3 linked regions of the Schizosaccharomyces pombe genome follow. The protein of the gene in region 1 interacts with the protein of each later gene in a biochemical or structural test. Each region holds a gene or a part of one and is shown on either strand. Other genes may lie near its edges.

Region 1 (3,834 bases):
CTTGTACTTTCCTGCTATAACTTTTACATAATCACCATGTCTAAACCTTTTCCTCAGGCCCCGAGATGGTACATCTAACCGTAAACCATCAGAGGATACCATGGTAATAACGCTACCTCGAACATTTTCAACAACACCACTTACTCCAGTCTGCTCACCAACATATACCTCGACATGATCTCCAGGCTGAAATTCAGCATGGCCCCCTTTGACGCTGAGAGCCAAAGAGCTGAGATCCAAATCCTCATTATTAGGATTGAATTTGGATACCTCGTCAAGTGTAGGATTAACTCCTTCAGTTATCAGTGAGGAAATACGAATGTCCTTTACCAAAAATCCATCTTCGAACTCTTCATTGTTGAAGAGGAAAAGTCTAGGACCACGTTTAGAAAACTTAGAAGGATTGCTTTTAAATGCTTCGCTTTCATTAAAGAGTCTTGCTTGAGGACGAGTGGCAGAATTCTTTCGTTTCAACCCATCGGAATAATCAATACGAGGAACTATACGTACACGTGCGGTTAAACCATTTTCTGAAAGGTTGTCAACCTGAGCGAGATCACCGGCGTACTTTCCACGGCGTATACGCACATATGCACCAGGCAACAGTTCAACAACCTGTTTTTGAACTTTGAGTAAATCCGGCATTTCCTTAATTGGAACTAAAATCATGTTATTTGTATAAACATTTAAAACCCCATTAAGTGCATCTAGAACATGTGATTGCTTTCGAGCTTCAACGTATATATAACCGACCAGCGAGTCACGTTGAAATGCTGAAATGATTTCTAATGGAGAGCTAGTATATTGCAAATCCATAGCTTTCCGCATTATGGTAAAAACAATATCCTTTTCTTTGCCAATTTTACAGCGAACAGCCCAAATATTGGGATCATTCACTGAAGGAAGTAGAAGACGTTGGGGAACATTGCTTGTATCTCCAACAACAGTTTGGCTACGACCATACTTTTCACGATACTCCTCAGCAAGGCGTTCAGCATCAACAGATTGTAGTTCCTGTCTTTGACGGTCAAGTTCACGATGGCGACGATCATCACCGACGTAATCCGCTCCAACTTCTTCTTCAATGAAACCATCTTCACGACCAATTTCATCTTCCTCATCTTCAAGCTCTTCCTCGTCCTCATCTACTTCTGCTTCAATATCAAGGAATTGGTTGCGGCGGTCATGGCGAGCCCTTTTTCTTCTACCGCCACCTGATTCATCTTCATCTTCCTCGTCTTCCTCATCATCTTCTTCATCCTCTTCTTCCTCTTCGTTTGCATCAGCTTCTTCCTCGTTTTCTTCAACATTATCCTCATCTTCTTTTTTGTCATTGTTATTTACATTATCGACTTCGTTTTCATTCCCATCTTCGCCTTTATTAATTGTGGTATCATTTGGACTTTCGTTATGGGAATCCACGGGAGAACTCTGTTTTTCATTTGTAGTAATTTTAGCAGCTTCAGAATCATCATTCAGCAAGTCACTTCCATTGGGGGATGCACGGGTAGAATTGATTTTAACTGAAGCAGCATCTTGCTCAGCTGCATCTACCTCAGTCGAATTTGCATCTTTATCAATAGATTTCGGAGAATTCGTATCCATTGTGACTTAAAAAAGAGGAAATAGTACCTATTCCCTCAATGCTTTGTTTTTAGACCTTTAATCTAATATAGGCGATAGGTTCGCCGATTAATGAACTTTTTATTCAACAAGTGGTGTTTTGTTAAAGGTGACTTACAGTACGTACTGCTGCCCTATTTTACCAAGCAAGTAGGTCTTGTATGGCTTGCAGCGACAAGAGTATAGATATACGAAAGAAGCAATTTAGAATGGAATACTTACGGTTTTTTTGTAAAATCAAACTTTTGCTTTAAAAGTATTTGCTTTAATGGTAAGCTTGAGCAATTGCCACTGCTGGTAAACAAACTTGTATACACGAAATGCCATACACAATCTTAAAGTTAGACTTGGTTTAATTGAAATTAAAGATAATGGGATGCTCAGATTATCAATAAATTCATCTTACATTTAAATTGTAATATTATGTTATATTCCATATAACTATGAACCCTTTAGGGCAATATCCCTTTGCGTTACTAAAATCCAATATAAATATTAAACTGGATAAGAGGATATTTTTTACCGAGAGAATATAGGACAAAGGTGGTGTCCATATACTATCTTCTTACTCAATAAATCTTATAATTATGATACAGGTTAAATGAGGAATAATATAATAGCCAGCTCTTGGTGCTTGTTCATAATTTCCCCCAAACCAATGATGCTACTCAGCTATACAGCATCGTGTACATTGCCAATACAGTCGAGTTTTTCGAATAAATGCTTAAAATTTAATTTTGGCCTTTTATGACTCTCCATTTGTCAATCTTCGCACCCACCACGGTAGCATATAACAACTTGGTTTTAGCTTCAATCTACTCTTAACCTTCGAAAGTCGATTTTCTCTAAACATTCTTTATTTTCCCTTTTAAACATTACCAATTTTTGCATTTCCTCACAATAATATGTAGTGGTGATGGACGCGTTTGTACTCGTAAATTACCTATACCTACTCACCTAGAACTCATAAATGTCGGTAGTGAAAGAATGGGTTCTTCTAAACCACTCAAAGGCTTCGTGATATGTTGTACCAGTATCGATTTAAAGCAAAGGGTAAGATTTTTGCACGACGAATCGCATTTTTTGTTATTTGTGTTACTAACTTGACAGACCGAGATATCTACAAAAGCAACTAAACTTGGTGCTGCCTATAGATCAGACTTTACTAAGGATGTCACGCATCTTATAGCCGGCGATTTTGATACTCCAAAATACAAGGTATGTCGTAAAATCTTACAAATTACACTATCCTTCAAGAGTAAATGCTGACATTCTTTTCAATAGTTTGCCGCAAAATCCAGACCAGACATAAAGATTATGTCTAGTGAATGGATACCTGTTCTTTATGAAAGCTGGGTACAGGGAGAAGATCTGGATGATGGCCTGCTCGTCGATAAACACTTTCTACCAACTCTATTTAAATGCCGGGTTTGTCTTACCAACATTGGCCAACCAGAGAGATCTCGTATTGAAAATTATGTGCTTAAGCATGGTGGTACATTTTGCCCTGACTTAACTAGAGACGTAACTCATTTAATAGCTGGCACCTCATCGGGTCGCAAATATGAATATGCATTAAAGTGGAAAATCAACGTAGTTTGCGTTGAATGGTTATGGCAAAGTATACAAAGGAATGCTGTCCTTGAGCCGCAGTATTTCCAATTGGATATGCCAGCCGAAAAAATTGGACTTGGCGCGTATGTTCGTCTAGATCCCAATACTACGGAGGCAAAGTCTTATTCTGAAAACCAAAAAATAAGCAAGAATAAAGAAAAGTCTGGTCAATCCTTGGCTGCATTGGCGGAGGAAGCGGATTTAGAACCCGTGATTATGAAACGGGGAAAGAAGAGAGATAGAAGTATTTTATGGGAAGAACTTAATAATGGAAAATTTGAATTTTCCAGCCGTTCTGAAGAAAATTCAGTACTACTGGATGATTTCACTCCCGAAACTGTTCAACCCTTAGAAGAAAACGAATTAGATACGGAACTCAACATCGAAAACGAAGCTAAACTTTTTAAAAATTTGACTTTTTATCTTTACGAGTTTCCAAACACTAAGGTCTCCAGGCTTCATAAATGTTTGAGCGATAATGGAGGCCAGATTTCTGAATTTTTGTCTTCTACCATTGATTTTGTCGTTATACCTCATTATTTCCCTGTCGATGAATTGCCCATCTTCTCATTTCCTACAGTTAATGAGTGGTGGATA
Region 2 (3,834 bases), on another chromosome or scaffold:
AACCGAAGAGTCAAGTAGCTACTCTAAGCTTGAGCACCTTGATTTACAATATAAACTTCAAGGATCAACCCTTCATAATTTTAAAGTAGAGTCATTGAAGATGCTTAATCATCCAGATAAAAAATCTTATAAAGGGGTCAAGCATACAATTATTGCACAAAATGTTTCATTTCGTTTTCGGTAATAATTAATTTACTTTCTATCTACCCGTTTGTTTATTATATATTATTCATATAAATTTCATTTTCTTAGTTATCACTAATGATTATAATAATTATTTTCCACACAAAGCCTCATTCATTGAAACGATACATATAGTCTATATATATTAGGATACACAATTAATGCCAAATGACTTCTGTTAATTTGTAGTTAAATTATTAAGTTAAACGATTTTATCCAAGGACAATTTTTTTGAAATATCTAATAATACAAGCATGTCTTTGAGTATTGCCATTGGTCTATCAATACCAACTAATTCTGTTTGTTGATACATTGTGTATAACTGCTTCAACGTTGTGTAAAATAGCTCTTTATCAAAGTTGCGATCACTTTCACGAAGGGCCGAACCCAAAAATGAGACCCATGCTCGTAGATGTAGCTTCTGTCTGATTTTGTTTTTCGGAAGGGAAGTGGGTAAAAGTTGAGTTAGCTGTTTAGTAAACTCACAACGTGTATGGCGTATGTTAATTCCAATACCTATTCCTTTCATAAGTATATATTGGCTCAGGCAATACCGGAGATTGGAGGCGCCTAAGTTTCCAAAGAAAAGATCTTGTTGTTTCGCATTCAGTTTTGAAAAACGTTCGTCGAGTTTGCTAAGAAAATGAAAAGCGTCTGTCAGATGTACAACAAAAAATCTTCCCTTCGGAAGCATAGCCCATATAAGGCATAAGAGTTTGGCACCTAGGTTTGCTAGTCTTGATGTTCCTTCAAAACTATTTGAACCTCGACTTTCTGTTTTAGCAGGTGCTTTGGACATACTTGTTGCAAAAGGTGATTCCATTGTTTGCTGGGGAAGAGTGAAACAGGAGAAGCAAATTCTGATGGCATCTTGAAGTTCACACAAATCTTCTCCCATGTATTTTTTCATCAACGCAGATCCGTTTTCCTCAGCATCGATCTCTAATATCCTTAACCATATGTCCATCAAGGACATCCAACGTTCAAGGTCAGGAGGACGAGAAGACATGTATGCAATTAGATCCCAATAATCAACATCTTGGGTAAATAAGCATTGGTTGGAGAAAATCTTCAGATAATTTTCTTTAGGCATATCGTTGTCCGATAGATCATTTTCAAATGACCATGCGTCAAAGTTGATTTTGCTTCTGTTCTCAACCACCTGCTGTAATATCCAATTACAGCTTTCTTGAATATTAGAAGAGGTAGGATATTCTGGGTGGACTAGAAGAGTTATGCACATTCGTATATAACAAGCTGGAATTGGTATAGAGGTCGTCGATAGAAGATATTCTAAAACATCTAATGATTTTGGCAACAAGTCTTCTTCAATACAAAGCTCTATTATTGCCTTTAGAGCCGAGTTCATTTTGAAATGGCGTAAGCAATCTTTGCTACTTTATATGTAAAAGAAGCCAGATATGGAAGAGATATCTTATTTCTTAAAACGATTTTCTTTGTAAAAGAGCATTTAACATGTGCCCTATTTACAGTCTTGTGATTATTATTGAATGGTTTGATTCACGAATTTTATATTGTAACAAAATGCAGAATTCTCAGTTTGAAGTTTTTACGCGACAGAAGAAATATATTCAAAAAGAGGGAAAGAGGAGGACCCCAAATGAGCAGTATTTTAAAAGGAAGCTTTCAACGATAAGGTTTGTAACCAAGGAAGACAACATCTGCAAAAATTATTTCGTAAAAAAAAAATTAAAAAAAAAATCACTTTTCAAATTATAAAAACATTATTCTTTTAATGTACTAGCAGATAGTACCTTTGAAAGCTAGTAGATAAAAGTTTCGCTGCTGTTATGAAATTGGTGGAGAGTCCTTGGAACCGTTATTAGTCAGGTATCTAGCTAATCTGATCCTGTCCTCCACCAAGATGGCCGACTTTCAGGATGAATTGTTGGCATTAGCTGGTATTGATGACTCAGATGTTGCTTCAAACCGTAAAAGGGCTCATGATGATTTGTAAGAAAGCAAATTTATCGGATTGACCTTGCTAACAAAACATATTTTAGAGATGATGTGTTGAGCAGCAGTTCAGACGAAGACAATAATGAAAATGTTGGACAGGATTATGCGGAAGAGTCTGGAGGAGAAGGAAATGAGAAGTCGGAAGACGAATTTGAAGAAAAATTCAAAAACCCGTATCGTCTAGAGGGCAAGTTTAAAGATGAAGCAGACAGAGCAAAGTACGTTGATTTTTACATTTTTCATAAAGTTGTCTAACCAAATAAAGGATAATGGCAATGACGGAAATTGAGAGAGAGAGTATTCTCTTCGAACGTGAAGAAGAAATTTCAAAGTTGATGGAAAGGCGTGAATTGGCAATTCGCCTCCATCAGCAAAATGCTCAGTATATGGCGCAATCTACTAGAAGGTCTACTCGTGACAAGCCTTTAACTTCAGCAGCCGCTGGCAAACGTGATAAGCTTACTGAGCTGAAAAAGCGCCGCCAGGAACGTTCAGCTAGAAGCGTCTCTGAAAGAACTAGAAAAAGGAGCCCTGTTTCCGATTATGAAGAACAGAATGAGTCGGAGAAGAGCGAAGAAGAGGAAGGTTACTCTCCCAGCTATGCTGAGGAAAAAGTTGAACAAGTTTCAAAAGATAATGCATCCGCCAATTTGTACGATTTAAATGCAATTCGTCTTGGGCGTAAACATGTCGCGGAGTACATGTATCATCCTATCTTTGAGTCCACCGTCACTGGATGCTTTGTTCGGGTTAAAATTGGTGAGCGTGATGGACAAGGTGTATATCGCTTATGTCAAGTCAAGGGTATTTTAGAAAGCAGAAAGCCGTATCGTGTTGATGGTGTTTTAACTAAAGTTTCACTGGAATGTTTTCATGGTCGCTCGAAAAGAGTGTTCGATGTCAACGTCTTATCAAATGAGCCTTTTTCCGACCATGATTTCCAACGATGGCATCACCAAATGATGGAAGATAAGCTTTCCATGCCCTCTAAAAATTTTGTACAACGAAAGCTGAATGACCTCAGGGATATGAGTAAATACGTTTTAAGCGAAAAGGAGGTTTCTGATATTATTAACAGGAAGAAAGAGTTATCGCGTGTTCCTTCGAACATCGCTGCTGAAAAGACCCGTCTTCGTCAAAGGAGACAAGCTGCTTATGTTGCTGGTAATGCAGAATTGGTCAAGGAGATTGACGATCAATTAAACACTTTGGAAGAACTTTCCATGGGATCTAACCAAAATAGTAATTCTGCCATGGATCAACTTGCCAAAGTGAATGAACGTAATCGACGCCGCAACCATACCGAAATTCGCCTGGCAGAGCAGCGTATGAATGAAGAACGAAGACGCCTCTCAGCAGCGGCTACTGCCACACCAATGTCTGCACCTACTTCCGTACTGACGGGAACAAGTCCTCAACCTTCACCTTCCCTTTCTACCTCCATTATGTCTACCCCAAAGCTGAACCCCAGTGAATCAGTCGTCGTTGCCTCTGAAAAGGCATCATCTCCTGACCTGAGTCCTAAGCTATTACCTTCTGAATCCCAAATTTTTGACGAAGGCATTGCAGTGACTCAAACCCCGAACACGTTGGAGGACAAAGATTTCAAACTTCACGAAAAAGCTGTTCACGGAATTGATGATATTATTGCTACTGTGGATTTTGGCATTG
Region 3 (3,600 bases), on another chromosome or scaffold:
AATGTACTTAATATTGTGTTGTGTTTTGTTGGTATCCGCATTTTCGCTTGCTCGAGATGTCGTTTGTACTTTGCTATTATTCTGGTATCTGGAGGACACATTCCATGCTGGTTGTTGAGACTGGGAAGATTGTCTTCCTTGACGGCCGTAATCCGAGGGGTTTCTTAATCGTTGAGATCGGTCTTGTTCAGGCCGGTAGTAGCGTTGACCGTCTGCATGAGAATGATTAGAAGTTTGATTCATAGCGTTAGTTTCAGAAAATTCGGAATTTTTCTGTGGCAAATCAGACGTTAAAGGTTTAAAATTTTGCTGACGCTTAGGCTGATAATTAACATTACGACTTCTATCCATGTTACCGCCTTCACGATTGTACGAACCACGTTGGTATTGCGGTTGTGAGTTATAATTTGGCCGACGAATTCCATACCACGGATCGCTAGGTCCACGAGTCATGAACCGGAACTGTCTCTTACCATTAGCGGTTTGTTCAAACGCATGTGAATTAGCATCTCTCTGTTCTCTTTTCCTTCTTTTGTCGTACTCATGAGAAGCACTGTAGCTCTGTAGTTCAGAAGGGTTTGCTGGATATGGTGGTGTTGTAAAATATTCATGCTCTAAAGCCATTGAAGCAGATAAACGTTCATCCGGATTAAGGGTCAAAATAGCACCGCAAAGAGAAGTCATTTCCTTTCCGAAAGTAAAAAATGCAGTTTCAAGTGTTCTAGGGTGTGAAGGAAAAGAGCGAACGCCTTCGCACCCAGGAAGCTTTTCCCAATTTGGCATAGTAGCTTGAGTTGGTGATCCACAAAGGCGAAAGATTTTATCCAATTGGTCCAAATCACTACTTCCTTGAAGGATTGGCCTTCCTTTATACATTTCGGCCATGATGCATCCCACGCTCCACATATCAATAGCGGTAGTGTAACGACGCTCGCCAAGCAAAAGTTCTGGTGATCTATACCAGCGTGTAACCACACATCCAGTGTATTCTCTACGATTAGGTGGAGGCAAGCCAGGATTTTTGTTTGCATATGACTCCTCCGTTATCACACGTGCGAGACCAAAATCGGCAATTTTTAAAATCCCGTGATTATCAATCAATAAATTAGCAGCTTTAAGATCTCTATGAAGGATAAGCTGATCATGTAAGTATTTGGTTCCAGCAAACAATTGCTTCATATAGCATTTAATTTGCGGCTCCGTGAATTTTACACTTGGATTTTCTAATAAACCTGAAAGGTCATGATCCATATAAGGAGTCACCATATATATAGAACCACGACGTCGATGCTTCTTGTCTGCACGAACAACAGTCATATCAGATAATGGAATAATATTCTCGTGTTTAATCGATTTTAAAATTTTTATTTCGCGAATGGCTGTAATGGGAAACTAAAATGTAATGCTTTAGTATTTATTCATGAATTAATTAAAACAATTAACGCAATCAAGTCGATGCGTCCCAAGTCATTCTGTCAAAATGAACAAGAATCTAAACAAACATCTACTTACACCTTCCTTTTCAGTATGCATGAGTATTCTTTTCAGCGCATATACCTTCCCGTCCTTACGCCGCTGCGATTTGTAAACTTCGCTGGTGAACCAAGTTAGTGATAAAATTCAAAATCAGATATTTGACACATACCCAAATGTTCCTTCTCCTAATTTTTCCATTAAATGATAATCCGTTAAATGGCTGCACCCTACAAAATGAAGTTTGGGTACGACATCTAATTTTCTCCTTGCTGATTTCTCATCTTCGACAGAAACGCTGCTTGAGCGTTTCATTTTTTTAACTTATATTATACAAAAGATCCCAACGATTAGTGAATAAAGTTAATTATACAAATTGTAGTATAAACCCGATCGATGCGCGAAATGTTGCATCTGATGAGGATATAGTGGAAGTGGACCCAACTATCAACTATATGCATTAAATACGGAGGCGAAGTAAAATGCGCTATGTTTCAAAATGAGAAAACAATACTGTAAGTATAGAGAATAAACAATGCTTTTTATAAAGGGAAAAAGTTGCATTAGTTTTAAATATCTTTCAAAGGACTCCCTAATCTCAAATAAATGCGCAAAGTTTACAATTTATGAATCAGGAAAGAGTAGTTATTAAAACTCAGGAATAGTACGTACTAAATTTAGAAAAAGATAGTTGAATAGACTGAAAAAGACATTCAAACTATAAGAGGTATGCAAAGGCCTTAAGCTGACGGGGTGCTCAGGGTGCTCATGTTTTACATGCGGGAACAATGAACGTGCATTAAAATATTATAGACATTAAGCGAATTAATTAGGTCGTTAGTAAAATAAAAAGAATATTTAAAAATGGTTACAATAATTAAGACTTTTAAGATAGAAAGTAAATCCCTTAAGATGGTATGGAAATCGTTTGCGTTGTTTCTAACTCATTATCTAAAACTTCTTGAGAAATTATAGTTTGAGTAACTTCGGTAAATGATTCATCTTCATCTTCCACAATGTAAGCAACGGTATATGCATCTTCACCACAAATTACTATAACTGGACGAGAACTGAATTCTGATGGTTGAAGCCATTGAACCTTCTGAATATTAAAACCTTTTTTTGGAACTCCAACGACCCTGGGTGTATTCCAACTTAAAGCCCAGAAGTATAGGAATGTAGCATTAGACGGAATTTTGGATTCTTTCCTAATTTTTGTTTGAATGACCACCAAATCGGGACGACCTGGATGCCATTCAAAATACACTATATGATGTTTTTGAATAAGAACAGTGTGCAGTTTTTTATTCTGTAAATTCCATAGCCAAAGAACATTAGGATATTTAGAAGTAATTGTAGCAGCATACGTCTCATCACAGTTGAAACGTATTTTTGATGCTGAACAAAAGGAGGGTTCTGGGAAATCGGTTCTGAGTTTATGTACTTTTTGATAAGTCATTTGTTGCTCATAGATTGTTTCCTTCTCTTCCCATATATGCATTTCCAAGTCAGTATTGGTATATTGCAAACAATGGTGAAGTCGAAAAACTATACTAAAAGTTTTTGTTTCAAGTAGATGTAAGGTTGAATCATGGTAACTGCACAAAGTTAGATATTTGCCAAAGGGACTCCACTCAAAATCGGAAAAGCCGACTTCAATTAACCTATTTGGTCGATATTCGTGAAAAAGAAGACCGGTGCGATGATAAATATAAACAACTGCATCTAATACGTTTTCCAAAACAGCTAACCAGTTTCCATCTGGCGACCAATGGATACCCGTCGAATCTATTGTAGGAAGCTTACACTCTTTAAGAAGTATCCATGCCTTTTTGCTGATTTGGTAAAATTGAAGGCAATCCGAACCGTTAAAACGAGATAATATAGTACAGAATTGCATGGATGGATGTAAAGCGTAAACTAAACAGTCAGTAAATTGATATATCAGACAAGAAATACCTTTCGAAACATTGGTTTTTACATGTGGAAGCAAATAACCTTTCTGGGTATTTAAAGACCACACAGTAATCTTCGACTAAAAAATTTGCTATTAGCATCGCAGATATATAAGCAAAAAGTTGTGCAAATTTTATTAGATACAACGTACATCAAAGGACGACCAGAGAA

What was found.
Region 2: the proteins of spt5 (region 1) and prf1 form a complex in vitro, tested with the Schizosaccharomyces pombe proteins (2 studies listed by BioGRID, with this or other methods).
Region 3: of the proteins of spt5 (region 1) and cdk9, one has a biochemical effect on the other in vitro, tested with the Schizosaccharomyces pombe proteins (3 studies listed by BioGRID).

What each region holds. Positions count from the first base shown.
Region 1 is NC_003424.3:1,061,638-1,065,471, reverse strand, and holds the start of spt5 (DSIF transcription elongation factor complex subunit Spt5), read right to left. Parts: upstream 1,729-3,834; 5' UTR 1,606-1,728; coding exon 1-1,605. Other genes in the region: BRCT domain protein Rad4, read left to right, coding at 2,611-2,676, 2,734-2,841, 2,908-3,834. UniProt on the Schizosaccharomyces pombe protein: The spt4-spt5 complex mediates both activation and inhibition of transcription elongation, and plays a role in pre-mRNA processing.
Region 2 is NC_003423.3:1,255,621-1,259,454, reverse strand, and holds the start of prf1 (RNA polymerase II-associated Paf1 complex protein), read left to right. Parts: upstream 1-2,055; 5' UTR 2,056-2,068; coding exon 2,069-2,157; intron 2,158-2,207; coding exon 2,208-2,381; intron 2,382-2,428; coding exon 2,429-3,834. Other genes in the region: AP-3 adaptor complex subunit Apm3, read left to right, coding at 1-184; Smc5-6 complex non-SMC subunit Nse5, read right to left, coding at 386-1,552.
Region 3 is NC_003423.3:1,468,868-1,472,467, reverse strand, and holds the start of cdk9 (P-TEFb-associated cyclin-dependent protein kinase Cdk9), read right to left. Parts: upstream 1,901-3,600; 5' UTR 1,789-1,900; coding exon 1,646-1,788; exon of another isoform or gene 1,595-1,645; coding exon 1,513-1,594; exon of another isoform or gene 1,393-1,512; coding exon 1-1,392. Other genes in the region: wdr8 (WD repeat-containing protein), read right to left, coding at 2,381-3,393, 3,433-3,508, 3,581-3,600. UniProt on the Schizosaccharomyces pombe protein: Component of the positive transcription elongation factor b (P-TEFb) which consists of cdk9 and pch1, and which phosphorylates the C-terminal domain (CTD) of RNA polymerase II and spt5.